Canis lupus familiaris: one gene and its partners. The protein of the gene in region 1 interacts with the protein of each later gene in a pairwise test. Links are inferred from orthologs where the notes say so. Each region holds a gene or a part of one and is shown on either strand. Other genes may lie near its edges. The genes, in order: FHL3, HIPK1, DCDC2B, SAP30BP, PATL1, C9H9orf116 and MRM3.

Region 1 (4,035 bases):
AATGAGTCTCTGTTCTGAGAGCTTGGCTAGACCCAGCCTGGGGGATGGGAGAAGCCCTGTGGCACCTGAGTCTCTACTCTAGATGCTGAGGTTATTTCTAGAGTCAGTTTGTTGTCTCCTGTTTTGCAAACAGTACAGCACAGCCTCCTCCTCCCTTCCCCACCCTTCTAGATCGAGGCTATTTATGCCTAGTGACAAGCCTGAGGATCCCAGGGGGATTGGCCCAAGGACCTGGAGGGGCCTTGTGTCCCTGGCAGGCAGCAGTCCTCCCTCCTGGGGCGCAGGGAGAAAGCCAGAGGATTGGAAACTGTAGAGGTGGGGGAGGAAGGGTTCCCTCCACTTCCCTCCACCAACCCTGCGGTGCCCCATCCGCGCACACTCTTCACACCCCTCCCTGAGAAACCCAAAAACCATGGGGCCAAGGATTAGGGTCTCCCCTGGGCCTCAAAGGTCATAACTATTCCTGGGCACTGTGGAAACCCAAGGCCGAACTTCTCTGTCCCAGGGTGCCTCCGGAGGTGAGGAGGTGGGGGGTACTTCTGTTTTTGCCACTCAAAAGTTGTGAAATCATTGAAGGTCAAGGCCCAGTCTGGGGTCAGGCGGAGGCGGAGGTGGGGGGGTCCCTTCTTCACTCCCTGTTTCCAGAGAACACCTTGGTTCCCATTGATAGGGAGGGCCGTGACAGCAGAGTCAAGCCACCTCACACACACACACTCCCGGGCCTCCAGGCTTGATTAAGGCCCCTTTACAAGCTGGGTCTAGGTGTGACCCTGAGGGGATGAGCTGGAAGGTGGGAGTGGGGGCGCACGAAGAGGCCATGAGTGAGGACCCCAGGGGACTTGGGTGGGCTGGGTGCCGGCCCCCGTGCTGGAGATCGAGTGCAGCAGGCCGTCTCCAGCGGGCTGCTGGGGGGTGCAGGGGGTGCAGCAGGGGAGGGGACGGCGGAGGCGAGCAGGGGACGGGGGCGGGGTCCCGGCGCCGGGGAAGGTCGGGCGAGCCAGGTTAGACCCGCGGGCCCGAGGGGGGGTGTGGGCGGGGTCTGGCCCCCGGCCTGGGGGTGCGGGGCGGGGGCGGCCGGGGGCGGGGTCCGGGCGGGGCGGGCCCGGCGCGCACTTCCTCGGGGAGGGGTTGGGGCCGCGCTCCACTCGCCCGCTGGGTCCGTGCGCTCCGGCAGCGCCGCCGGCCGCCCGCTCGCCCCGCTCGCCCCGCTCGCCCCGCCCGCCCCGCCCGGCCCCGCTCGCCCGGCCCGCAGGTACGAGCCACCGAGGGACGCGCGGCCCGGCCTCCCCGCTCCCGCCGCCCGCTCCGAGGTGAGCTCCCGCCCAGGCCGGCTCCTCGCCCGGGGCCCCCCGACGCCCCGGGGGGCGCGCTTGGAGCGGGGGGCGCCGAGCCCCGGAGGGCGCCCCCCCACCCCCGGGACCGCCCCGATCCCGGCCGCCCGGCGGGGTGGGGGGGGCTGCTCGACACCTGGGGATGGGGGGGGAAGGGGCCAAGTTTGAAACGGAGAAGCCAGAGTCGAGCGCGGGACCTGGAGGGTTGGGGAAACTGAGGCTCCCTGAAAGCCGGGCGGAGCCAGACCAAGACGCGGGCCCGCGCGGCAGGCTTGGACAGGGGGCTGCACGGGGACCCGAGTCAGGGAGTCAGGGACAGGTTCTGGGGGCGTAGAGTCCCCGAGAGGGAGACCGGAGGCGTCTGGACGGACCTAGGTTTTGTGGGTTGGAGCACTCGAAGGAGAAGCGTCCCCTGACCCCGGTGAACACGGAGCAGCGCCCTTCCCAGGGCTTTGCAGGGTCCCGGGCGGTGAGGGGCCCCGAAGCCTAAGCTTCCTTAGCCCTGTGGCAGATCAGCCTCTGTGAGGCCTATGGAGCCGTCCAGAAACTGCAGACAGGGACGCTCAGGAACAGAGGTGCTCCGAGGAGGAAGCGAAGGGGTCGGGGTGGGAACCCCTTGGAGGCACTCAGTTACGGAGATTTGGGTGTACAGAGGTAGAAATGAGCAGAGGTCACTAGCCCGGGACACAGGTCCCCAAAACACGAAGACAGCTGAGGTGTGCAGAGGCTCAGTCGCGCTGCGTGGGGCGCAGCTGGCTTTGCTCGAGGCGCCCTGACAGCTTCCCAGACAGACCCCGAGACACGGAGGCCTGAGAAAGACTGGGAAGCAGGGGTGCGGGGAAACAGAGACTCTGGGCCAGCCAGAGCCCCGTGAGGCAAGGACCTGAGACAGGCACGTCGGAAAGGAGCCCCAGGCACACACCAAGACAGCCCCAACTTATTTTTAAACTCAAATCATGGACATGCTGCTTCAGCCCTGGGGGACCCGGGGTGAATGAACTGTTCCTCTCCTGTCCCCAAGGCAGCTGCTGGATCCCGCTTCCCGCCCTCCTTCCCCTAAACTGCTCTGACTCCCAGGCCCCATGGCGGGGAGGGGTGGGGAGAGGGAGAGTTTGGGGTTGGTGCCTGATACCGGAGGTTGGGGGCTGGGGGGGGTTAGGTTTCTCCCCTTAAATCTCCTGTCAGTTCCTGGGAGCTGGGAGGAGGGGTCTGATCTGATCCTGACTCACAGCTGTGAGGCCTGGCCAGGGTCCTCCCCGACAGTGCAGGGTGGATGGGGGCAAAGGAGTTGAACGGTTGGCATGGGCAGTTGGAAAGGCTTCTGGGTGCCTTCCAATGGCAGGGTTAGCAGCTGGGGGAGAAGAGTGAGACTCCTGTGCTAGTGATGTCACCGAGTATCTCCCACACCCCTGCTCTTAAAATGTTGACCACCCCGTTTTGCCACCGCTGCAGCATTTTTAGAGAGAAAAACAGGAAAGGGCTCCAGGCTGGGAAGCAGGGAACCTGGGCTCTCCGAGGCCTGAGTGACCTTGGGCCTGGCTTGTCCCTGTGCTCGACTGTAAGATGGGAATGACATGCTCTTCTGCCTGCCTTTTGGGAGATCTGGTGAAATAGTGGATGGGATTTCTCTTTATGGGAGGCCAAGCAGCATGCAGGTGTGTACACCTGTGTACCTGTGTGAGGGGTCTCAGGAGTTATGCTCATTGGCACCAGGCCGGCCCCACTGATCTCCTCAGGCAGCCCCACGGCCTGGGCTTCTTCACTTCCCCTAGTGGAACTGGGGAGTGGGGGTGGGGGTCCCTCTTTGGTCTATCCCTGAATCTACCCTGAGAATGTCCAGGTCAAAACCCAGGCCAGCTCCCTGAGCCAGGCCTGGCTCAGAAATTTGTCTGACCCCCGTATGAGTGAGGGGCTGATCATAAAAACGCCCACAGCTACCATTCACTGAGGAGTCCCTTTCTGCCAGGTGCTTTCCAAGCACCACCATTTCAGCCTGACGACAACCCCGGGAGAAGGGGGTAGGCGTAGAGGAAAACAGGCCCAGGAACCTTAAGTGACTTGCCCAAGATCACCCAGCTAGTAAGGGAAGAAGTCAGGATGCCCACCCCAAGCCACATTTGGGCCTACTATACACTGTGCCACAGCCATTTATCTAGCCATTCTAACCTCTGGGAGGCTCACTGGAAGGTGCCAGATGTGTGTGTCAGGTGTAGGGGTGGTGTGTGTGTGAGTGTGTGTTTGTGTGTGTGTTGAGGACAAGAGTTGAGAGCCATTTGGCAGACTGAGCAGTCTCCTCCGTAACCCCCCCTCCCCAGGCCATGAGGGAATATAAGACTGGTTCTCTTCAGTTCTCTTGCTGTGCCAGGGAAAGTGGGAGGGAGGGGAGGAAGGGGGATGGGCAGGGACAGGTGGGTCTCCATAGTGCCCTTCACTCTGTCCTCATTAGAGCCCAGCTGGACAAACTAGGGGACTGGGGGATTCTGGGAAAGAAACAGAAGCCATGCCCATACCCTATTTGGGGTGCCCCTGTTTCAGAGTGATGACTGCCTCCCAGAGGGTGGCCCCAGGGCTACCCTGGGCCCGGGAAGGTGATGGCTGCTGTGTGCCAAGCCAGAAAGGAAGGAAAAGATTTGGGGCACTCCCCAACGGACCACGGCCACACACTCCACCTGTGTGGCCCCCTGCTGCCCAGTGGCCCACAGCC
Region 2 (3,519 bases), on another chromosome or scaffold:
TGTCCAGCACATTTTGGACACTCTTTCTGTGAATGTAGTTTAAGATTGAATTAGCTTTTGGTTGGGGAAACATTATTACATAGTGTTTCTTTTACCAACTCAAAGTGTTTTTCATATACATGTGCTCCTGCTAAACCTTGAATTTTTTTATCCTGGTGCTTTGTGCTAGTCATATTTTGGGCCTGTGTAGGATTCTATATTTGTGTCAAATTTCATCTAGATTTGTCTTGCGGCTTCTGCCCTATTGTGATCTTTTGGGACCCGTTATTTTAGCAATATATTGAATATCCTTCGCAAATTTGATTCAGCTGTAAAATTTGTAAGTGTGTCATCTATCTCTAAATGATCAAAAATCTCATCAGGGTAGGAATGAAGACAGAGCTGTGGAATGAGTTCTGGGGCCAAAAAGCCTCGGTTTGAATTCCAGTGCTGCTACTTAATAGCTGTGCTATTTTGGGCGAGTTACTCTAGCCACTTTGTATCTTAGTTTCCTCATCTGTAAAGGGGAAATAATGATAGTATCTTTTCCAAAGGGTTGTGGTGACAATTAAATGAGTAATGCACGTGGAAGTGCTTAGACTACTCCTTGACACATAGTAAGTGATCAATCATCTAAGCTATTATTATTATGGTTATTATTTTATAAACCATCATAGATGTTCATGCTCTTTTGACAAGGTGACTTACTATTGCTGAGTCTCAAAGAGTGATTAAGGGTGAGTGATTAGGGGCACCTGCGTGGCTCAGTGGTTGAATGTCTGCCTTTGGCTCAGGTTGTGATCCCAGGGTCCTGGGATTGAGTCCCACGTCAGGCTCCCCGTAGGGGGTCTGCTTCTCCCTCTGCCTTTGTCTCTGCCTCTCTTTCTGGGTCTCTCATGAATAAATACATAAAAATCTTTTTTAAAAAAAGGGTGTGTGTGTGTGTGTGTGTGTGTGTGTGATTAGACCAAAAAGTTTATCCTTCTGTAATAGGAAACATATTTTGGAAAATGCATAAAATAAAACTCCAGCCAGATAGTAATATTTTACTTGTGGTTTTACTAAACTAAAAGTTTTCTAATCTATTAATTGCAGGGTTGTGTAAAACTGAGGATCTAATTCTTCCTCTCTCTCAACGTAGGTATGGCATCACAGCTGCAGGTGTTTTCCCCCCCATCAGTGTCGTCGAGTGCCTTCTGCAGTGCGAAGAAACTGAAAATAGAGCCCTCTGGCTGGGATGTTTCTGGACAGAGCAGCAACGACAAATATTATACCCACAGCAAAACCCTCCCAGCCACACAAGGGCAAGCCAACTCCTCTCACCAGGTAGCAAATTTCAACATCCCTGCTTACGACCAGGGCCTCCTCCTCCCAGCTCCTGCAGTGGAGCATATTGTTGTAACAGCTGCTGATAGCTCGGCCAGTGCTGCTACATCAACCTTCCAAAGCAGCCAGACCCTGACTCACAGAAACAACGTTTCTTTGCTTGAGCCATATCAAAAATGTGGATTGAAAAGAAAAAGTGAGGAAGTTGACAGCAACGGTAGTGTGCAGATCATAGAAGAACATCCCCCTCTCATGCTGCAAAACAGGACTGTGGTGGGTGCTGCTGCCACAACCACCACTGTGACCACAAAGAGTAGCAGTTCCAGCGGAGAAGGGGATTACCAGCTGGTCCAGCATGAGATCCTTTGCTCTATGACCAATAGCTATGAAGTGTTGGAGTTCCTAGGCCGGGGAACATTTGGACAGGTGGCTAAGTGCTGGAAGCGGAGCACTAAGGAAATCGTGGCTATTAAAATCTTGAAGAACCACCCCTCCTATGCCAGACAAGGACAGATTGAAGTGAGCATCCTTTCCCGCCTAAGCAGTGAAAATGCTGATGAGTATAATTTTGTTCGTTCTTATGAATGCTTTCAGCATAAGAATCACACCTGCCTTGTGTTTGAGATGCTGGAGCAGAACTTATATGATTTTCTAAAGCAGAACAAGTTTAGCCCACTGCCACTCAAGTACATCAGACCAATCTTGCAGCAGGTGGCCACAGCCCTGATGAAGCTCAAGAGCCTTGGTCTGATTCACGCTGACCTTAAGCCTGAAAACATAATGCTGGTCGACCCAGTGCGCCAACCCTACCGAGTGAAGGTCATTGACTTTGGTTCTGCTAGTCACGTTTCCAAAGCTGTGTGCTCAACCTACTTACAGTCACGTTACTACAGGCAAGTGGCAAATGTTAAAAAGCATATCTTAGACTAGAGATCTATCTTTATATTTAACATATATTACATAGAGTACGTATAACAAACTGAATTTATTTGCAGATTGCAAGGTAGAATAGGAAAATATGTTTTACTTCATTCCATCTCTGGCATTCCTATATGTAACATTATTTCTGAAGTTTTATTTAACACTAGAAAAATTAATTCAGTCTAATTCTGAAGGTTGTTCATAGTTGAATTATACTAGCATCCGGTTCCTTCTCAAGTACCATTAAACCTAATTCTCCCATTTTAAAGAGTCTTTAAAAATATAAAGATGTTTACTTATTTGTAATGAATTTAGGCATATGCTGCTACTTTTCCAAGTTCATATCTTGGCAGGTAAGATGCCTTGGGAATAATTCCAGGTTTAACTCTAGCAACATTTCATTCTTTGACGTTTTCTTTTTTGTGTAGTAAAGAGAATTGGATTTGATGATTGCCGAGGGCTCTTCCTATTTTAACATCTCCATAAGAGTTCGAACTTAATTTGGCTATGACCTTATTTGGTTATCCTAAAATGTCCTTGACCCAATAAGTGCCTATATTTTAGTGATTTATATTTCCAGATTGATACTTCTAAGAAAGCTGTCTTTTTAATATATAATAATTATTGTGAAAGTACTTAAATGCTTGTATATACAATGTTGTCTGTGCTATAATCAGGGAGAATTACTGAAAATAAAGGGGGAAGTCTTAAATGAGCTTTTATTTCTTAATACCACATTTATTTATTTGTCTAGTTACTAATTATAAGGAACCTAATATTTAATTTTAATGATCATTCATTAAATACAAATTGTACACTCACCCAATCAAGAAATGAAACAATAAAAAAAGATAATCCACAATATATGTTTATCAGGTGATATGTCCAACATATCAAATGCCCATATTAAATTTTCAGTAAATAGAAAGTCTGAGCTTAGAATTTTATATTGTGTGTGAAAATAAAAGAAGGATATTTTAATCTGAACAAAGGCTCAGAAGGTATGCCATCTACATATTTTTTTCTAATTGTGTAAAATCTTCCTAATATGAAGTTTACCATTTTAACCATTTTAAATGTACTATTCAGTGTGTTAAGTATGTTCACAGTGTTCTGTAACCATCACCACTATTCCTAAAATTTTTTAATCACTCAAAACAGAAACTCTGTAACCATTAAGCAAAAACTCCACCTTTCCCTCTACCCCTGGTAACCTCTATTTGACTTATTGTCTCTGTGAATTTGCCTATTCTAGATACGGCATGTAAGTTGAATCATACAATATTTATCTCT
Region 3 (4,231 bases), on another chromosome or scaffold:
TGGGCACCTGGCCCAGTCACCCAGGCTCTGCCCTGCTCAGCTGGAGGGGCCTCTCCCTGTGGCATAGAAGGAATCCCATTTGGGGAAATGTGCTTTCCTTTTGCCTTGTCGCCCTCATGGGCAGCCGGAGTCAGTAGGGAGGCTCCCTCTAGGGACTTGTGGACCTCCCCAGACCCGCACTCCGCACTCACTTGCACACAGCCCCGGCCTGCAGTTTGGCCTTCTCAGTCAGGAGCTTCAACACGGTTTCCCAGTCCTCGCTGGCAGCCTGGGACAGTTTCAGGCTAAATGGGGGACTTAACAGGTCCCCATTCCTGAACACACTGGGACAAAGCAGTCTGGTAAGAAGAGTCCCTAGAACCCCCTGTGTGAGAGGAAGAAGGGTAGCACGGGGCCAGAAGATGATCTAAGAGCCAGTGCATGGGTCCATTTTCACCCATCAGGCACGTTGGGACTTTTTATTTTATTTTGTAAAGATTTTATTTATTCATGAGAGACAGAGAGAGGGAGAAGTAGGCTTCCTTCAGGGAGCCCAATGCGGGACTCGATCCCGGACCCCAGGATCACACCCTGAGCCAAAGGCAGATGCTCAACGCTGAGCCACCCAGGTGTCTCACACTGGGAATTTTTATATCCCTGCTGGTGACCTGGGGCCTCCTGGAACAAATCCACTGCCGTTTTCTTGGTCTTTACTGAAACAGAATCTCTGTTCCTGCTCTCTGATGCTGGTACTCACTGGATATAGCAGGGGGAGCCTGCAGGTGGTTGCGATCCAAGGGTCCTGTCACGTGGGTAGTGAGTCACAGGAGGACCCTGAAACCCAAGTCACGCCCTCAAATCAGGACAGAATTGAAGCCTTTGGTTGGAGGGGTCAGTCCAAGGGGGGCAAGGAGGGATGGGATAGATTACATCTTTCGCCAAAGGGCCCTTCCATCTCCCTGGAGTCACATTCCAACCATCCCCTTGCCCCCATGTGTTTTACAGCTTCCTCTTTGCTTTGCGGACCACAATCTGGAGATAAAATAAAAGGCTGGGAAAGGATCAAGGGAAAGTTTTGAAATCCTGCACCCCAGGAAGGGCAGCAACTGACTCCAGAGTGGGTGTGCAGAGTGCCCCCTGTGGAACTGGCAGGTCCTGTTATTTCCAGGGCCCCTGACTTCCAAGACAGAATTGGGGGCAACCCCACGAAGGGTTAGAGGACGACTCCCAGTACTCACTGGTAATCTGCTGCCCTTTCCACCTGAATCCTTCTTTCCGGGGGGTAAATAGCTGAAAGGACAGATGGGTCACAGGTCATCTTGGGGAGCCTGGGGGCTCAGCTTACCAGGTATCCATTCCCACTGGGATAGTCTCAAAACATCTTTCCAGAAACAGATGTGGCCCTTGAACCTGCCTTAGGGCCCTGTGTCAGGCTGAACATCCAGACTGGGGTCTCAGACACCAACCATTAAGATTAAAGGTCAAGAGAAACTAGTTCCTTAAGCATCATACTGTATCTCAGAAATATTCTCACTCACAACTGTATCTCATTTTCCGTGAGACAGAGAAAGTTAAGTGACTCACCTAAAGTACACGGAAGTAAGTGCCAGAGCCCAGATTCTAGGTCAGCCTGGCTTCCCACCCCTTGCTCCTTATGCCACCCTAAGCAACCTCAGGTGACTGCTGAGGAGCACCTGGAAACCAGATAGGAGTTGGAAGCTCAGGTACTCAAAATTCTTCTCCCATCTTGGAAGGCATGGCCCCACCTTGAGAGGGGATGACCCCAGCCAGCGGAGAGCACAGGTTGCCTTATCACAGCAGGGAGGAAGTGATGGATGGATTTAGCGGTGGGCAACGGTGGTGGTAGAGGATCCAATCAAGAAGAGCCTTTGGAAAAAGGGGCTCACCTTGCAGAGAATGTTCTCCTAGCAGCCCAGTCCTGACTGTGATGGGCATAAATACCAGGGTCAGACATTCCCTAGAGCTGTGGCTCCGCTGTTTGTAATTTGTAGGCTCTTAGGCAGGATATTTAGCCTGTCTTGATTTTCCCTGCTACAGAATAGGGATAAGACCACCCCCTGCATAGGGCTGCTGTATTCCAGAAGAGAACATATGAGGTGCCTGCACATACAAGTACTAAATACAAATACTACTGCTCTTGCAGTTCCCTCCCTCCCAAGGCTCTAACCAGCCCCAGCCCACTCACTGCAGCTTGCAGAATCTTTCGAAGCCAGCAGCCACATACTGCCCTCCATTCTGCAGGTCGGCCAGGTCAGTGACACGGTGGCCGTGACAAGGCGTATAGAGGGCCCGCACTGCCACTGGGGCCTGCACAATCGATGTCACCTCCTGGAGGAAGGTCTCCAGGGTGGGAAAGCGGCGTTGACTCACCACCAGCTGGTGGCCTGGAAAGTAGGGGTCCCCGTTCCGGTATATCACCACCCTCTTGGCTGCTGGATTGCCACCACCAGCCATAGTGTGTCCTCTGCCATAGACGCAGATCTGTTGCCAGGCAACCAGGCAGGCCGGGAGTAGTGCCAATCAGAAGTAGAGTCCTGCCCCCTAACCAAAGAAGGCAGGGAGAGACTGCAGGAGCATGTGTCTCCATTCTGGGTCTCAGCCAGTCAGCCCTTGGTGGGGCCTCTCGAGAGTTGGGTGGGTCTGATGACTATATTGGAAGGAAGACTCTGGGGCTTAGTGAGAGGCAGTGCTGGAGATAACACTGAAACACAGATGTTCCAATACTGGATAGAGGGAAGAATTCTGAGGCACCCTGCCACTCCGAAGGCCAAGGGCTGAGCTCAAAGGAAGATCAGCTTTGGGGGCTGTTCCCAAGGATGGCCAGTCAGCCCCTGGACTGTGGCTCCCAGCCAGCCCTGGGAAGATGCCGCATGCCAGCAGGTAGGGAACAGGAAGGCCCAATGTCGATCCTGAACAGAGACAGATGATGAATGCAACCAGGTGTAGAATCCATGAAAAACCTTTATTCTCTATCAGGCTCCCCACTTTACTTACCCCGGATAACTCCCTGTCCCAAAATTTGGATTAAGCTACAGACAGAGGATGGAAGAGAGTCTCTTCCTATCCTCTCCCTATGCTGGTGCCAGCTCCTTGCTCCAGCTTCTCTTGGCCCCATTAGCCACCAATGGCCAAGGGCAGAAGGTAGAGCTGGTAGCAGGGAGCAAGGATGAAGCCCTGCCTCCCTCATCACCCTCTCATAGCACCCCCCTTTGGAAGCGGGTCTTCCCCCTGGCTCCCCAAGGAGGGCCTTCCTCTCCCATGTGGAGTGTCCCTGTTGAAGACAGTTTCTCAGGCGGCCTTGATTGCCATGGTACAATCCTCTGGTTTTTCCCTTCCTCATGGCTAGGTTCATTGGAGGTTCTGTCTCTGGAGCTTTTGTCCCTAGGGAACTGGCCCTTAGGTGGTTTAGTCTTCCAGAGATCCTGGCCACCATACTCTGCCAAGGTCTCATCCCATATGCCAAAGTCCTCTGAGAGGTCCGACTTCCGTGGCCTAGCTCTTTGGCGATTGGCCTCTCTGTGTTCCGGCCCTGTGGGAGACTTGTCCTCAATATCTGGGTCTTCACAGAGTGTGGGCACCCAGGTCCTGGCCTTTTCGGAATAGGAGCCCCTGGGTTTGAGGTCTTTGGGGGTGTGGTCATCCAGGGCAGTCATCCGCTGCGGGCAGGTCCGTCCAAAGGTCTGTTCCCCACAGTCTGGCTCTTTGGTGAACCTGTTCTCTAAGGCCTGGTTATCTGATAGTGTGGGCAGCTGTGGCCCAGCTCTTCTGTAGCATGGGTCCCTGTACTTGATCCCAGCAGTAGTTTTGTCTGTAGTGGCCAGTCTTTCCAGGGACTTGTGGCGTTGTGCTTTGAGCCTCCAACAGTCATCCACATAGTCTGGCTCTCTAGTGGTCCTGTCTCTGTAGGACTGGTTTTTTGGTGGTGGGCTTGTTTGTGACCCAGCCCTCTCACAGGTCTGTGTCCTGCCATCTGGGCACAAGTTGGGCTTGTCTCTGGGCCGGCTCACCTCTGGGCCAGATGTCAGTGTTTGTTTAAGAATCAGGTACTGTTGGGGAAGAGTACAGACACTGTACCAGGCAGGACTGCTTAAGCATAGAGCAGGAGGCTTTTCTCTAAGCCCCACCCCTGGCCCTAAACATGCAGGAAGGGCTCCAAGGTAGTGCCTACCTCCTTACGGCTACTGATAGCCTGTTGCAGCCACAGCAGTTCCATGGCCAAGTGGTTGTGGTG
Region 4 (3,917 bases), on another chromosome or scaffold:
TCCCCCCTCCCTCTGCTGCCTGCTACAGCTGCGGAGCCCTGCTGGCTCTGGGCATGGTCATCAGTGTCCTCCCTGGCCTGATAGAGTAGTGGGTCTTCCTCCTGAGATCTGATCTGCACAGTCTGCCTCCATGCTTCCTTGTAGGTCCCATGCCTGGTGGCCAGCTGACCCCTTATTTTAGGGTCTGAATAGCACTTCTTCTCAAGCAGCGTGATTTACTTTTTTTAAAAAAGCTCTGCATTTTATTTTTTTTAAGATTTTATTTAATCATGAGAGACACAGAGAGAGAGAGAGAGAAGCACAGGCACAGGCAGAGGGAGAAGCAGGCTTCATGCAGGGAGCCTGATGTAGGACTCAATCCTGGGTCTCCAGGATCATGCCCTGGGCTGAAGGCGGCACTAAACCGCTGAGGCACTTGGGCTGCCCAGCAGCGTGGTTTAGATCTTTGGAGAACAGAAATTTGGCGATGAGACTAAACATCCTCAGGGCGCTATGCCCTTTACGACCAGTCTCTGAGAGAAAGGGGCCTTGGCACCAGGTCTGCCCACCTTGGCTTTGCCCTGACCCTCCTGCAGCAGCTTAGCCTTCAGGATGCCTCCAACCCCCAGCAGAGGGGCGGCCACCCACCAGGAGCTGGTGCTGGGGTGATCAGGTTTTCTCGTTCTTAGTGCTTGATGGAGTGTCCCTTCTGTCTCTTTCCCTCCCCATTCCAAACCCCAGGCTTAGTGTGGGACATGTCTGCAGCACCTGGGAACCAGAGCTGTGCTTCTGCCACACGGGTGGGTACACCTCCACCCAAAATGTGAGGCAGGGCAGCAAGCTGGTTTGCCCTGCACGTGCAGAAATGTGGTGATGCTGGGAGCAGTCCAATGTCTAGAAGGCTGTCCTCAAAGTAGTAAAATTCAATTCTCTCTCCCTCTTCCTCTGCCCCTCCCCCCAAAAAATAATAAAAAAATCAAAGGGGCCCCTGGGTGGTCCCATGGGTTAAGCATCCAACTCTTGATTTTGGCTCAGGTTCTGATTTTAGGGTCATGAGATTGAGCCCCACCTTGGGCTCTGCACTGGGTGTGGAGCCTGCTTGAGTTCTCTCTCCCTCTGCCCCCCCCCCCTCTCCGGAACACAAAAAAATGTAATAAAAGTCTCCTCCAAGCACCTCTTGGACTCCTCTCCCTCTCTTAGCACAACAGGGCTGCTTCTCACTGCCTCCTCTGTACAGCACAAACTCAGCCCCGCTGGCCGAGGATGCGGATAAACTGCTTGGCACAGCCCTTATCTCTTCCCTTTCTCTCTCTCCAGATCGAGTTTGTGACAGGCACCAAGAAAGGTACCACAACCAACGCCACAGCCACCACCACCACCACAGCCAGCACAGCAGTTGCAGGTAAAGGGAGGCTGGTCTGCTTCTAGCCACACCACAGATGGAGCCGGGGTTTCCCTGCCTTGTTTGGGGGAGCAGAGCCCATGGAGATCTGGGCGTAGGCTCCACCTTGCTGTGTTCTTTTCTGACCCCAGAGTTTGCAAGGCATCATGGGAACTTGGGGTGGGGTCCCCACTTCACTGGCTACCCCTTCTGTAGGGGCCCCTAAACCCTGACCTAGAAAAGAGAATGTTGCTTGTCAGTTTATTGTCCTGACACTCATCCCTTGCTTCACTCCAGATGCCCAGAAGAGAAAGAGCAAGTGGGACTCCGCCATTCCGGTGACGACGATAGCGCAGCCAACCATCCTCACCACCACAGCCACCCTGCCAGCTGTCGTCACGGTGACCACCAGTGCCAGTGGCTCCAAGACCACTGTGATCTCTGCCGTGGGCACCATCGTGAAAAAGGCCAAGCAGTGACCTGAGGGACCAGCTTGGGGTGGCTTGGACATTTCTTTCCATCGAGGGGAGGAGCCACTTCAGGACTTGGGGAGACTGTGCAGCCCGGAGACCAACATTGGCACAGAGGTGCCGCCTTGTTTATTTCAGGACTGGGATCTGCTCCCCAGATGCCACCCCAAGAGGAGCCTCTTTGTGGCGTTCCAGCCAGGAAAAGGACATAGCTACAGAGGAGTCGGGTGCTGTGGACGGTGTCCACACACCACTTGAGGTCCGGTGCCCTATTAAAAGTGCCGTATTCTTCTGTCGGCATCTTGGCTGCACTGGCCTCTTCTGTGGTCTGTTTTCAGGCAGATGCGGAAGTTCCAAGTGCCCTCTCTATCTCCTCTTGTCGGGTTTACTACCTCAGGGTTGGTAGTGGAGTGGCCAAAGCCTGTGGCACTAGTCAGTGGGGGCAGCCCAGGAAGTGGCTGTGGTCATTCCCGGCATGTGCCTCTTGGCACGGGCAGGTGGGCGTCCAGAGAGTGGGGGAGGCCCCATGGTCCCGCTGGCCGCTGCCCTGATCCTGAAAGCCAGCCAGTTCTCAGACAAGAGCCGAGGTCTCTGCTCCCTTGGGGGAGATTGAGCCCTCCCAGACTCTTTAGACACACCCAGGCTTTTGAAGTCCGGCCCGTTACCAGAAGGCCTGGATTTGATCCCCAGGCTGCACAGGGAGCCCAAGAGGCATCCGCGCCTGGCCAAGGCTGCCCCGGTCCCTCAGTGCCCACCGAGCACAGCCAGCGGGCTCCACGCCGTGTGGGACATGAATCACCTCCTGCCCTGGCGGCGGCGGCTCATTGTTTACGTGAAAGCCAGGCTCTTGGGAGGATCCTGCCACCCCACCTTTCCTGTGCCTGTTATCTCTGCCCCACAGCAGCGCCTGGGCAGCGCCAGTGGCCGCCGGGCTCCTCTTGAGGCCAAAACAGATTTCCCAGCCGCTGTCAGCCCAGAAGTCTGGAGGGAATTCTCTCGCTTTTCTTGGCCCTTGGCAGCTGTCCAGCCCAGCGGAAGGGCTATGTGTCAGAGAGGGAAGCCGGGCTGTGAAGAGCCGTGTTGCTTCTGTGGCATGGGCAGAGGGTTAGAAAAGTGCTCCTAAAATTGCACCTGGTAACTGTCGCATAACCAGAGGAGTACCATGATCCTGCCCCACCATCCCCAAAATAAAAATTGACTCACACTTGTCCCCACCCTTGCCCCCCTCCACACACTTGGGCGCTAAGAGAGGTCAGTGTCATCCTCCCCTCCTTTGATGGGACTTTGCAACCCTGGAGAGGAGCTGCTGCCCCTTCAGTCCCAAGAGGGTCTCTGAAGGCTTCCTACCCTGCAGCCTCCAGCGGAGGCCCCTCTGTGGTGCAGGGGCACCGGGGTTGTGTGGGAGGCGGTGCAGCACAGTGGGCATGGCAGGAGACGTGGACTCTGCCCCTCTGCTCTGCTCTGGATCCTGGTTTAAACAAGTTGTGTTTTCAAGTTGTGTGTCTTGGGCCCTTATCTCTGTGAGTCTTCTCTGTCAATTCCTGTAATAAAGCTTTCTAATTAAATTAGGGCAATTGTGAGAAGTCCGTGAGATGATTTGTGCAAGAGCTGTATAAACTGTAACGTTCAAGTGCTTGGGGCCCCTGGGGGTTTCACTTGGGGAAGCGTCTGCCTTTGGCTCAGGTCACGACCCCCAGGTCCTGGGATTGAGTCCTGCATCAGGCTCCCTGCTCAGCGGGGCGTCTGCTTCTCCCTCTGCCTCCTCCCCCTGCTGACCTGTGCTCCAGTGCTCTCTCTCTCTTTCTTTCTCTCTCTCTCTCTTTTTTTTTTTTTTTTTTTTAAATCTTATTTATTTATTCATGAGAGACAGAGAGAGGCAGAGACACGGGCAGAGGGAGAAACAGGCTCCACACAGGAAGCCCGACATGGGACTCGATCCTGGGTCGCCAGGATGGCGCCCTGGGCCGCAGGAGGCGCTAAACCACTGAGCCACCCGGGCTGCCCCTCTCTCTCTCTCTTGAAGAAATAAAATCTTTTTTAAAAAATAGGTACAAATGTTTGACCCATCCGGTTCCTTCTTGATTTAG
Region 5 (3,519 bases), on another chromosome or scaffold:
TAAAATACATACAAATACATGGGGGTTTTGTGAGTTTGAAAGTCTTGGTGTTCAGATGAGGTGAAGGTAGCATTAAAATGAAAAGATTTTTTAGGGAAAGTTTCCCTGAGGAGGGAAAGACACCTGAATTTAAATGCCAAAAGGAGCGAACTAGTGAGTGGAAGCAGAATGAAGGATGATTGAGGAGCACTGGGATGACCGAGCGATGGAAATAAGGTAGGGAAATAAGGAGCAATGGAAATAAAGAAGCTGATGGGGGTTCTGAAGACTTTTACCTGTGCTGTAGCAGGACTCATAAATAACACTGCATCGGCATATTGTGTGAACACATAACCTTGTGCCAGCACCAGACTGTGTAGTAGTGTGCAGGAATAGCGGGGACGTTGTTAACATGGAAAAGGACCGGACCAGGTCTGGATCGCCATCCCCTTTCCCCTGGCGTGCTGCAGTAGCCATCTGGCAGACCTCCATGCTTCCATGTTTCTGCTCCTTTCCCTGCCCCTCCTCCCCAATTCTTGAATCTGTTCTCAGTACAGCAGCCAGAGTGTTTCTTTCAAAAAGTCAAGCCACATCAAACCTCCAGTGGCCCCCATTTCAATCAGAATGACCTGGAAGGAGCTCTCTCCCATCATTTGGCCTCATTTTTTTCTACTCTTCTCCTCGATTATTCCAATCCAAACACAGTGCTTGCTATCTCTCACAATCGTCACTTATCCTTAAGCCTTCTCTATAGATGTCCTCTGTGTGGAACACTCTTCCCCCACATAATCCACACAGCCATCTATTGGACTCTTGATTCTGCTCAGACGTCACCCTCAAAGTGAGACATACCTCTGACCATCCTACTCAGTCTCCAACCTTTGCTTTTCCTCCGTCCTCTTACAGCATTTCATCTCCTGATAATAGTACCGAATTTACTTATTACATTTATTGTCTACTTTTTGTCTCTTCTCTACTTGAAGGAATGCTCCAGGAGGCCAGGGACCTTTATGTTTTTATACACAGATCTATCCCGTGTGCCTAAAAGAGTACTTAGCACATAATATATACTCAACAAATACTCATTGAATGAAATGAATGAATTTGAGAGCTTGTAAAGAAGACGATTATAATTTAAAAGAACCTGTATACCAATGCAGAGAGTTTTAACTTTACTTTTTTGCCTGATAAATCATAGAATCTGAAAACCTATGGGTTGTTGTATACATACCTATCACCAGTTTAGAAATTGTTTTCAGGATACAGTTTGGATGCCATTCATAATGTATTAAACTATCAGTCTAACTGCTTGAATTTTATTTCTGGCATGATGTTATTTGTCCTTAATCACAAAAATCCCACTTTCAATTTAAGCCTCTTAGCTTAAATCTTATTTCATGTCTCTAAGTGGAAGCTGACTATATTCTAACATGAGTTCATTTGGTTAATTGAAGAATTTCATAAAACTTTTAGTCCCTATATGAAGTATGTTTTTTTTCTTATGATGTCCTTATAGATGATGATTGGCAAGAAGCCCATGAGCGCCTGGCTGAATTGGAAGAGAAACTGCCAGTGGCAGTTAATGAACAAACAGGCAATGGAGAAAGGGATGAAATGGACTTGTTGGGTGACCATGAGGAGAATCTGGCAGAAAGGCTCAGTAAGATGGTGATTGAAAATGAGCTAGAAGATCCAGCAATCATGAGAGCAGTGCAGACCAGGCCAGTTCTGCAAGTGAGTAAGTTACTCTGATTTGAGAACTATAGCAGACTAGTAGTTAAGGTGAAGTATTGAGCTGTGCATTTTGTTTCATCTACTATCCTAAGAAACTTGCATGTTCCATATAAAACTATTAATATAATTCCTGATCATAGCAGTTGAAGGTGGGGAATAATGTACATCCTAGAACACTGTAGTTTCGTCTTCTCAAGCAGTTGAGACTCTTTTGGAGCTTTGTTCACCGAAACCAGTTTAAATCGCCCAGAAAGCTCTCAGTATTCCAGACTTTGCGTATGTGTTTTCCTTTTTTGTTAGCCCCAACCAGGAAGTCTCAATTCCAGCATCTGGGATGGATCTGAAGTTCTGAGGCGAATCCGAGGACCACTGCTTGCTCAGGTATTAAACATTTTCTCTTTATACAAATTCCTAGTACGTGGAAACTCCTGTTGGGATCCTTTCCTTACTGAAACAGTGTATAGGTGTGTCTATCATTTGCTATTATTGTGTTGATTATTTGATCTAGTGCTCATAACTGTACCTGTTGATGGTACACTTTCGCAGCCTCCACAGCAATGCTCAGTTGACTGTGCTTTATTTTGAAAAGGTAGAAAGGGAGACATTAGAATTCAAATTTGTTAGCTTATAATCCAAATTCCTGAAGTCATTGCTAAGTAGAGCCATGGGAATGAAGAACAGATAGGTGTTTAACAGTGGTTGGAGGTAGTGGAAGGGGTTGACTGCTGAGGGACAGTACAGCAGAGGTTTGGGCAGTGACAAAACTGCTCTGTTTCTTGACCGTGGCAGTAGATCCATGAATCTCTGTATTTATCAAAATTCAGAGGACTGTACAGCAAGGAGAGGGAATGTTACTGGACATGAATAAAGAAAAAGTTTAAAAATTTCTCAAGATGCTTTTGGCATCTGTACGTATTAAAACATTTTAAGTTGGCTGTGGGCTAATTTTCTATTTGTTTTGTTTTGATTTTTTTTTAACCCATTTCTTCAATTAGGAAATGCCGACAGTGTCTGTATTAGAATATGCCCTGCCTCAAAGGCCCCCACAGGGCCCAGAAGATGATCGAGACCTTTCTGAGCGTGCATTACCACGGCGGTCAACTTCACCTATCATTGGGAGTCCTCCTGTTAGAGCCGTCCCCATAGGCACCCCACCTAAGCAGATGGCCGTACCCAGCTTCAACCAGCAGGTACCTCTCATTAACAGGCACTCAGCCCAGGATATTGGGAATCTGGGCAAAATTATTTGGGAAGTTGGCAATGCTGGGAGGAGGGTGGAAGTTTTGGGTAGGCATTAGATTAGAAAGAGAAGTTAGTACAAATAAGAGACACTTTCCCTAATGCCCTTTGCTGGTGCTGCTCCTGTTGCTGCTGCCTTTTCATTGGGGGAGAAAAAGGGTAGTTAACCACATTTAGTGTATATATCCTTTTCAAAGTGTTTTGCTGGCTGCCCACAACATTGGCAGAGAGGTAACTAAAAGCCGGGGGGAGTGGGAACACACAGCATTGTCCACATCCCTTTTTACCTTTAAGATATCCCTGCTTTCCCTAGAGCCTGTGCAGTCCTGTTCCATAGACTTTCCTCCACCTGAAACCAGCAGCTGAAAAGGAAGGCCAATTTGGAAGGTATGGGGGGAGGGTGGTGTTGGTATGGCCTAGTTAGGCTCAGTATTCTATGAAACGGTGGAGTCACAATGTATCACAAAACAGCTGAGCATGGCGGCCATATCACAGGGGCTTCAGAATAGGACTTAGTTAATCCTCCAGCTTTCTTATCATTCCTTCTCCCTCGCTGCTACCAAAATA
Region 6 (4,042 bases), on another chromosome or scaffold:
CCAGCCCGCAGAGGAAGGAAGGTCCCCATCAGGAGTCCCGGGAGGGCCCTTGCAAGGAGCCAGGCCGCACGTCTACCCCCCCCACCCGCCGCTGCAGGTGCAAGTGACCCCTGCCCCCAGCCCCCAGCCCCCAGCCCCCAGCCCGCGGGTCTGCTGCCTGCCGGCCTTCCGGGGCCCGCTCCCCGCTGCTCCCCGCTGCTCCCCACCCCCCAAGCTTCGCACTCGGGACTCCTCGTGGCAGACGACTCAGCCCCCGTGGGAGGGCCAGGCGCCCCCTCCCCCCCCCGCCGCAGGGGAGCCTGCCTTACCCGCGCTGCCCTCCGGCTCGCCGACCGCGGGGATCGCGGCGCCTGCCAAGGTCCTGCCGCCGGGCCGGGCCCGCCCCGGGGTCGCCGTCCCGAGCAGAGGCGGCCGCAGCGCCCGGGGCCAGACACCTGCGGGGAGAGCCGGCCGTCCTCGCGCTGTCCCCGCCCGCCCACCCCGCTCCCCGCGGGCCCCGGGCAGCTCCCGCCCGCACCCCCACGCCCGCCGCGGTCCCCGGGGCCCCTCCGCGCGCACTCACCCGCGCCGAGCAGCCGGGGCGCGGTCGCGGCGGGAGCCATGGCGCGGAGGACGACCCGGCGGGGACACGCTCTCGGGCCGCGCTGCTTCCGCCCCCGCCGGCGCCCCCGCCGCAGCGCCGCCTGCCGGCCCGGAGGTGCCCCTGCGCGCCCCGCCCCTGCGCGCCCACAGCCCTCGGCCCCGCCCCTGCGCGCCCCGCCCCGCCCCCGCCGCTCGGCCCCGCCCCGCCCCCGTCCGCGCGCGCCGCGAGCCCCACTTCGGCCCGCCGCTGGCCGGGAGTCACCGGGGCGCGCCCCCCGCCCTGCCCCCGGCTCGGCCCCGCAGCCCGCACGAGTCCCGGCCCCGGGGCGCCCTCCTCACCTCCGGCCGGTCTAGCACAACCTGCCGCTCTCCCCAGGAGCATCCCGGAGGACCAGGCGCAGGTGGAGTCTGCCCTGAACCTCCGGGCGCCGGGCGGCCGTGCGGAGCTGGGCGTGGGCTTCCCGCTCCCCCGGCCTGAGCCGGCCCGGGGGCAGATCCGCGCTCGCCACCCCACCGCGAGGAGCCGCCACGGTCGCCGGCCTCCGGGAGCGCGGCGCCTTCGGGGCGGGGCCGCCCGGGCAGCTGACCCGGCCGTCGCCTGGCAACGGGACGCCGCGCCGCCTCTCGCGGCCTCCCACCCGCCGCAGCGCGGGAGCCCAGGCGCATGTCGGAGCCGAGCCCCCGAGAGTGCGCGGCGGCCGAGGAGCCCCCCGCCCCCGCGGGGCCCCCGCCGAGGACCAGCGACTACTACTGCGTGGACGAGAACCTGCCCGTCAGGTTCAACAACCCGGCGTGGTTCCGGGGCTACGGGTGAGGACGGATCGGGTCGGGGGCCACCGGGCCAGCGCCGGGCCTGGAGGGGGCGGGGGGCTCCCCAGTCCCCAGCCCGCCCTGCAGCCCAGGTCAACGGACTTGCCCGCGGTTAGCACCCAGGGAGCGAGGAAGTGCCGCCCGAAGCTGCAGACCCGCCTGCGGGGGTGCTCGGGTCACTGCAGGAGGGGCGGGGTGGCCAGGCAGCCGCACCCAGCCGCACGCCTCTCCAGCTGAGCGCAGTCTCTGCAGAATCCGAATCCCGCAACCACCACCCCACCCCCCCGTAGCTGTTCTTGCAAAGCCTTAGACCCAAGTAGTAGAACACCCGCCACCACACCTGCCCTGCCCTCCCTCACCTAGTCTCCTCTGCAGGCCGGTAGACCAGATCTGTTAGTATTCTTGCTTTCCAGGAGAGACTGCTGAGGGTGGAAGCATAGCATCCTGCCCCAGATCTGGTGGCATAAGGCACGGCTGACATCCCAACCACAGCCTGGGCTTTAGAGACTGTAGGCATGTTTTCTGCCCAGGGCTCTGAAAGTGAAGGGACCCTCCCACCCTGGGGTGGCAGGGTGTGGAGGCTGAGCCCTGGGTCCTGACCTACCCATCTTCCCCGGGAAATGACGGTATGTGCCAAGCCTCCACCCCGGTTGAGGTCTGCATTTGCCCTCCAGGAGTTCTTTTTTTTTTTTTAATTTTTATTTATTTATGATAGTCTCACACACACACACACACACACACACACACACAGAGAGAGAGAGGCAGAGACACAGGCAGAGGAAGAAGCAGGCTCCATGCACCAGGAGCCCGATGTGGGATTTGATCCCGGGTCTCCAGGATCGTGCCCTGGGCCAAAGGCAGGCGCCAAACCGCTGCGCCACCCAGGGATCCCCCTCCGGGAGTTCTTTAGGGCTTTGGCCTCCCTTGGGGAAGAGCCAGGGTGGAAGTGAGCCGAGGAGGCAGGGAGGCTCATCGTGCCTCCCGCGGCACCCCACCTTCGGAGCCTCAGCACCAACCTGTGGCATTCCCAACAGAGCGCCACCAAGTGAATATTCTAAGACTACAGGCTTGGGCAGAATTGGAGTAACTGTTTCTCATCTGCCAGGACCAAGGAGCCTGTCTCCATGTACAGGACCAGTAACCAAGCTTACGGGAGCAGGGCCCCCACCGTGCATGAGATGCCGGTAAGCCAAGCTTGGAAGCACCTGTGTGTCATTGGAACATCTCCAGGAGGAGGCTGTGACCCTGGATTTCTCATGAGGGGCGGTGGGGAAGGGCCCAGATTTCCAACCTCACAAAACTGGAGGTGGCACATCAAGTCCTTTCCAGACAGAGCAGAGCGGAAATGAGTGAGTGAGCAAACTTAGCGATGGAATGTGTCAAAGATGGAAAAGGTGTGTGTAGACTGGCTTGAGACGTCCCACCCCCTCTGTCATCTTAAGGCCATGAGTTTTGAGGCAGACAAGTGAACAGTTGCTTTCTTTCTGGAATAATACTTGATTTTAATGAACTTGTGGCCTAAAGAGACAGGACGGGCCAAAATCACAGGTGGCAGGAGGACAAGGCATCCTCTTGGCGGACAAGGCATCCATCCCCACGTGGCTGGATGTGGGGATCTGTGCACCTTTGGGGAATCCTCACCCCCTTCTGGAGGTTGATGTCACAGTCTGGAGCTCTAGAACCCCCTTCTGAAGCCCCCTGGTGTCTCTCTTGGGCCCAGGTGAAGGGCCAGGCTGACCAGCGTAAGCATTCCCTGGATAACTCAGGACAGCAGGGCCACCCACTTTGGGCTGATGATGCTGTTGTTTCTTTTGAAATACTCATCATTTAGAGATCTGGCCAAGTTGCTCATTTGCTTGTTTCACATGGGAGATACAGCCCTTGTGAGGAGATTATTTATCTAGAAAGTTTCTAAAGCATTTAAGGGTCACTCACCCAGAATCAAAATGATTCCACATTTTTCCCAGGATCAGGTATTAACATGAAAAATACCAGCACACTCAACTCACTAACATGGGTCCAAATGTTTTACTTTTAGAAACAAGACCATTGAAAAAAAAAGTTTCCTAATTTTTTTTTAAATTGTGGGGGTTTGCCCCTCGCTGGTCTTAGCAGGTGATGGGCCGTGAAGCACTAGATGCTCTGCAGGCAGGGTCGGAAGGAGGTTCTTCCTGCTGCTAATTGACGGGCTTTACCTGCAGACTCAGGTCAGGATACCGAAAAGCGGGCTGCAGCTAAAGCTGGTCAGTAAGCAGCAGGAAGAACCTCCTTCTGACCTACAATCTTTTTTTAAAAAAAAAAGAAAGAAAAGAAAGAAATGCACTGAAGACATTTATTTTTGCTCCTGCCTCCTGCCAAGCAAAAAGAGTATCAGGTGATCTTGACACGAGGAGAGCTGAAGAGCGGGTCCACCTGTCCAGGGTAAAACACCTAGCCCTGGCCCTGTATGTCAGAAATCTCAGGGTCTCCCCAATGACGCTGTGCTGCTGGTCCAATCACCACCCTGGGTGCCTGCGCACACGTGCATGGACTCGGCTGTGCTCCCCACCGTGCCCTCACCTCACTAGGGCAGCGCCTCCCCATGCCCCTGGGCTGGTGGGGTGTGGGCATCAGAGGCATCTTAGAGCTCTACAAGGGATCTGAGTGTGCA
Region 7 (4,189 bases), on another chromosome or scaffold:
TAAATAAATAAGTAATCTTAAAAAAAAAAAAAAAAAAAAAGGTAGTCCTAACCTATTTGTCCTGTATCCCACCTCAACTTCAACTAAGTAATCTAAGCTAGAGGCACAGAAAACTAGTGGTGTTTTCCAAACATACCTTATTTTTTCACTGGCTCTTCCAGTTTTCCTAGTACACTCCTCCCTCTAATCTTTGTGGAAATCTTACCTATCTTTACATATCAACTCAAATTCAATTCTCTGTGGATTATTTCCTGACAACTCAGGCTGAAATTAAATCTTTCCTGTAGTATTTTTGTAATAATAGTGGTGGCTACTACTTATACAATACATATGATATATTAAATACCACACATATAACAGTGTTTAATCTTCACAACAACCCTTTAACCAATGAAGAAACACATTAAGGGAGAGTTTTGTGGTTTTCCCTCACTTATCAAGTTTTGATTTCCATTACTGTTAACTATATACAAATCAGCTCAACATAGGACCGTGAAACGCGGATGATATATTCTAAATGACTGACGAATTCGGGTAACTCCCTTGCATTCCACGTCTTCTTCACTCTCTACATTAAATTGCACTCTTGCACCTCTAAAGCCCTTGCTTATCAGGAGCTCTCCACCTCCATTTGCCACGCAGGGATCCCTGCAAAATCGCAGCTGCTTAGAGCTGGAGAGGGCGCTTCCGGGTGTTAGAGAGAATGGGTACTGACTTCACACTTGGATCTGGACTGCTAAAAGGAGGGCCGGTGCAATCACCCAGAGAGTGAATATCCCAGCGATCAGAAGCCTTGAGAGAAGCAGAGCTCTAAATAGGCTGATTATCTAAACTGAAAGGCTCCAAACAGTAACTGAGCTATTGTTCACTGGAGAAGTATTATATTGCTTTTTGTTTATGATCTTTCCCGCTTGACTGGAAGCTCCACAAGAGCTGAGGCTCAGTATTTGTGAATGAACTTAAAAGCGTGAGGGCAAACAGTCGGAGACTAATAAAGGCCCCTTTCAAAGGTCATCTAACCCAACCAGAAACATGCAACGCTTCCTGGAGCTGAAAACCTGACAAGGCTAATGCGGAGTCCAGGGCTAAGGTCTGACGCCCGGGCGCTGGCGGAGATTCACGGAACACCCATTTGGCCCCTCCTGGGGCTAGTGGGGCTCAGCGGTCCCGGCCACCCAACCTCGCGCGCCAGCCCTCCTCCGCCCCGTCTGCACCTTCATCCCCAGGACATCGCGAAAGAAACGCGCGGTCTGGAAGCGGTTTCCCACTTTGAACACGAAGTGCAAAGCTCGACGAGTAGCCATAGCTATTAGCGAAACACACCGTCAGGAGGCTGCGCGGGCCGGTCGTGACGTCACTGGTCCCCGCCGGCGCGCTTCCGTGACGCACGCACGGCGCGAGGGAAGATGGCGGCGTGGGTAAAGGGCTTGGGGTGGGTCACGCGGCCTCTCTTGTCGGTGGTCCGAACTTGGGACCTTGACGCGCGGCGCTGGGTCCGGGCGCTACGGCGGAGCCCGGTGAGGGTGGTGTTTCCATCCGGACAGGCGGTGGGACGGAAGCCTGGTCCTGAGAAGCAGCCCCGGAGGGCAGCGCCTGAGGCCAGTCCCCACGAGCAGCGACAGAAGCCGCCGCTTCAGGTGTCCGCATCCCAGACGTCCTGCGCCTGGGAAGAGTCTGGGCTTCGCTATGATAAGGCTTTGCCCGGGGACAGAAGGCTGAGGTGATGTGTTCCTGAGACTTGTCATGTATTCCCGTTTCTCTCCCCGCCTGCCATCGGGACCTTAACCCGTTTTTTCCTTTTGGAGGACTAATCCCGGTACAACTTTCTGGTTTTTATTAGGCATGGAGGGCAAAATAAGTGTTTTCTTTAGAATTCGTTTTTTTATGTCTATGAAGCTCTTTATGTCTCTTAGAACTAGGTGTGTTTTGGTAACAAGGATGTTAGTAATTACCTGTCTTTTTGTTTCCACCCACAGCAGTGTAATGACAATAGTTAAGTCCAGGCCATTTCGGGAAAAGCAAGGAAAGATCCTACTGGAAGGTCGCAGGCTTATTGCAGATGCTCTCAAGGCTGGTGCTGTGCCAAAAGTTTTCTTCTTTAGCCGTCTGGAGTACATAAAGGAGCTTCCCATTGATAAGCTGAAAGGTGTCAGTCTCATTAAGGTGAAATTTGAAGATATCAAGGATTGGTCCGACCTAGTAACTCCACAAGGAATAATGGGTCAGTACTTATGTCACTAGAAGTAGAGATCTAGGATTACTTATTCATAATTGTCTTAGGGCAACAAATTTTATTTGAACCAAATTCAAAATGTTTTAAGACACTCAGATAAATACAGTTCTCAGATCTGTGGGTCTTACAGTATTTTCAGTGGAAGCTGCAGTTTTTTTTGTCATTATCTATCTGTATTGTGGCTCTTTATAGTTCTTTGAACATTGTATTTTTTTAGGTCACTTTTCAACCTTCAATGTCCAGCTAAAATTTAAGAAAATGTTTATTAAAGTATTTAGCTCTCCATTTGTCCAAGACCTCTGCCAGTGTGGTGATACCTCTCTGTCTTTAACCCTCTTTGTAGAAGCATGTCTAAGCAGAAAGCTTTGAGCTTATTACCCTGCTTAGCTCATTGAACAAGAAACTGTCTTTATTTTTTTTTTTTTTTAGAAACTGTCTTTATTTGGTTGAATCAAAAAAGATTCTAATAGACTGTGGTGTCTATTAGCACTTAGAAGGGTTTATTTTTCTAAATATGGAAAAACTAAATTTACATCTTTTTGACATTGGAATTATATCTTAGATCTGAGAATTGAATGGCAGTTAAGTGTAGAGGTTCCTCTTGGATAGTAAGGGACAGTTGGGGCAGGCAGAGTTATTTTCAAGATTCTAATGTTTAGGCCAGGGTCTGTCTCTCTCTCTCTCTCTCTCTCTCTCTCTTTTTAAACTTATTTATTCATGAGAGACAGAGACGCAGGCAGAGGGTGAAGCAGGCTCCATGCAGGGAGCCTGATGTGGGACTTGATCCCGGGACCCCAGGATTACACCCAGGGCCCAAGGTAGGTGCTAAACCTCTGAACCACCCAGGGATCCCCTAGGCCAGGGTCTCTGATATCAGGTCTCTGTTGTGCATGTGTTTCCTTGTGGGATAGTTCAGCTATTAGGAGAGGAAGTTCTGGGGACCATCTCTCGTTCTGTAATCCAGTAAGTCATAGTGATCTGTGACCCTGGATTTAGAACTCTCCCCTAGGGTGGGGATTTGGGACTGCTAAAGCCCTCCACTTTAAGTATGGTCTTGTTAGCTACACCTTTAATTCCCTACTCTATACTACAGTGCAAATATCACTCAATTTTTTACCATGCTTGTCACTTTGCACATGTGTGCTAATAGTGGCCAGCCTATCCAGGACTCTAGCCTTCCTTGTTGTTATGACTGCCTTCATCATTTCATGTCTCTTAGAAATATGTGTATTTAGCTTATCCTTTTTTTTTTTTTTAAGATTTTATTTATTTGTCAGAGAGCATAGCAAGGCAGAGAAGGAGAGGGAGAAGCAGACTCCCCGCTGAGCAGGGAACACGATGTGGGGCTTGATCCAGAATGCTGGGATCATGACCTGACCTGAAGGCAGACACTTAACCAACTGAGCCACCAAAGTGCCCCTATTTAGCTTATCCTATGTTTTATTTAATGTTGGAGGGATGGGGTATAGGGAGAAAGAGATAAGACTGCCTATCAGATTTCCAGCACATCGGGGATCCCTGGGTGGCGCAGCGGTTTGGCGCCTGCCTTTGGCCCAGGGCGCGATCCTGGAGACCCTGGATCGAATCCCACATCGGGCTCCCGGTGCATGGAGCCTGCTTCTCCCTCTGCCTATGTCTCTGCCTCTCTCTCTCTCTGTGACTGTCATAAATTAATAAAAATTTAAAAAAAAAAAAAAAAAAAAAGATTTCCAGCACATCTTTAAAATCTAGTAATGTAAGTAGGGCCTCTCTAGTAGAGAGCTCTGATCATTGCAGCCATTCAGGTAAAGGTTAAAGGACTCCTGAGGCCCCTGCCCCACTGAATGGTTTTAGAGCTAGCTATCTGTGGCTCCTAAGTGCAGGACCTTTCTACAGCACACAGATGCCTAATATTCTAGTACCTTCATTGATGGGTTAGGTATAGGTATTTATGTGTTCTTGGTGTGAATACATTGG

What was found.
Region 2: the proteins of FHL3 (region 1) and HIPK1 interact in binary tests that used the Homo sapiens proteins (3 or more experiments, as listed by UniProt). The two-hybrid records come from large-scale screens. The link is inferred for Canis lupus familiaris from reciprocal best matches to the Homo sapiens genes FHL3 and HIPK1.
Region 3: the proteins of FHL3 (region 1) and DCDC2B interact in binary tests that used the Homo sapiens proteins (3 or more experiments, as listed by UniProt). The two-hybrid records come from large-scale screens. The link is inferred for Canis lupus familiaris from reciprocal best matches to the Homo sapiens genes FHL3 and DCDC2B.
Region 4: the proteins of FHL3 (region 1) and SAP30BP interact in binary tests that used the Homo sapiens proteins (3 or more experiments, as listed by UniProt). The two-hybrid records come from large-scale screens. The link is inferred for Canis lupus familiaris from reciprocal best matches to the Homo sapiens genes FHL3 and SAP30BP.
Region 5: the proteins of FHL3 (region 1) and PATL1 interact in binary tests that used the Homo sapiens proteins (3 or more experiments, as listed by UniProt). The two-hybrid records come from large-scale screens. The link is inferred for Canis lupus familiaris from reciprocal best matches to the Homo sapiens genes FHL3 and PATL1.
Region 6: the proteins of FHL3 (region 1) and C9H9orf116 interact in binary tests that used the Homo sapiens proteins (3 or more experiments, as listed by UniProt). The two-hybrid records come from large-scale screens. The link is inferred for Canis lupus familiaris from reciprocal best matches to the Homo sapiens genes FHL3 and PIERCE1.
Region 7: the proteins of FHL3 (region 1) and MRM3 interact in binary tests that used the Homo sapiens proteins (3 or more experiments, as listed by UniProt). The two-hybrid records come from large-scale screens. The link is inferred for Canis lupus familiaris from reciprocal best matches to the Homo sapiens genes FHL3 and MRM3.

What each region holds. Positions count from the first base shown.
Region 1 is NC_049236.1:4,653,570-4,657,604, forward strand, and holds the start of FHL3 (four and a half LIM domains protein 3), read left to right. Parts: upstream 1-1,223; 5' UTR 1,224-1,310; intron 1,311-4,035. UniProt on the Homo sapiens protein: Recruited by SOX15 to FOXK1 promoters where it acts as a transcriptional coactivator of FOXK1.
Region 2 is NC_049238.1:52,268,441-52,271,959, forward strand, and holds part of HIPK1 (homeodomain-interacting protein kinase 1), read left to right. Parts: intron 1-1,120; 5' UTR 1,121-1,122; coding exon 1,123-2,198; intron 2,199-3,519.
Region 3 is NC_049223.1:68,392,646-68,396,876, forward strand, and holds the start of DCDC2B (doublecortin domain-containing protein 2B), read right to left. Parts: upstream 2,811-4,231; 5' UTR 2,455-2,810; coding exon 2,186-2,454; intron 1,270-2,185; coding exon 1,218-1,269; intron 814-1,217; coding exon 737-813; intron 324-736; coding exon 192-323; intron 1-191. Other genes in the region: IQCC (IQ domain-containing protein C), read right to left, coding at 3,195-4,046, 4,169-4,231.
Region 4 is NC_049230.1:5,747,327-5,751,243, reverse strand, and holds the end of SAP30BP (SAP30-binding protein), read left to right. Parts: intron 1-1,296; coding exon 1,297-1,381; intron 1,382-1,657; coding exon 1,658-1,839; 3' UTR 1,840-3,404; downstream 3,405-3,917. UniProt on the Homo sapiens protein: Plays a role in transcriptional repression by promoting histone deacetylase activity, leading to deacetylation of histone H3.
Region 5 is NC_049239.1:37,550,154-37,553,672, forward strand, and holds part of PATL1 (protein PAT1 homolog 1), read left to right. Parts: intron 1-1,495; coding exon 1,496-1,713; intron 1,714-2,013; coding exon 2,014-2,094; intron 2,095-2,708; coding exon 2,709-2,903; intron 2,904-3,519. UniProt on the Homo sapiens protein: RNA-binding protein involved in deadenylation-dependent decapping of mRNAs, leading to the degradation of mRNAs. Acts as a scaffold protein that connects deadenylation and decapping machinery.
Region 6 is NC_049230.1:51,281,044-51,285,085, reverse strand, and holds the start of C9H9orf116 (UPF0691 protein C9orf116 homolog), read left to right. Parts: upstream 1-1,229; 5' UTR 1,230-1,246; coding exon 1,247-1,392; intron 1,393-2,497; coding exon 2,498-2,576; intron 2,577-4,042. Other genes in the region: MRPS2 (28S ribosomal protein S2, mitochondrial), read right to left, coding at 309-434, 563-602. UniProt on the Homo sapiens protein: Microtubule inner protein involved in the attachment of outer dynein arms (ODAs) to dynein-decorated doublet microtubules (DMTs) in cilia axoneme, which is required for motile cilia beating.
Region 7 is NC_049230.1:44,978,200-44,982,388, reverse strand, and holds the start of MRM3 (rRNA methyltransferase 3, mitochondrial), read left to right. Parts: upstream 1-1,370; 5' UTR 1,371-1,406; coding exon 1,407-1,720; exon of another isoform or gene 1,721-1,816; intron 1,817-1,976; coding exon 1,977-2,221; intron 2,222-4,189. Other genes in the region: GLOD4 (glyoxalase domain-containing protein 4), read right to left, coding at 1,215-1,304. UniProt on the Homo sapiens protein: S-adenosyl-L-methionine-dependent 2'-O-ribose methyltransferase that catalyzes the formation of 2'-O-methylguanosine at position 1370 (Gm1370) in the 16S mitochondrial large subunit ribosomal RNA (mtLSU rRNA), a conserved modification in the peptidyl transferase domain of the mtLSU rRNA.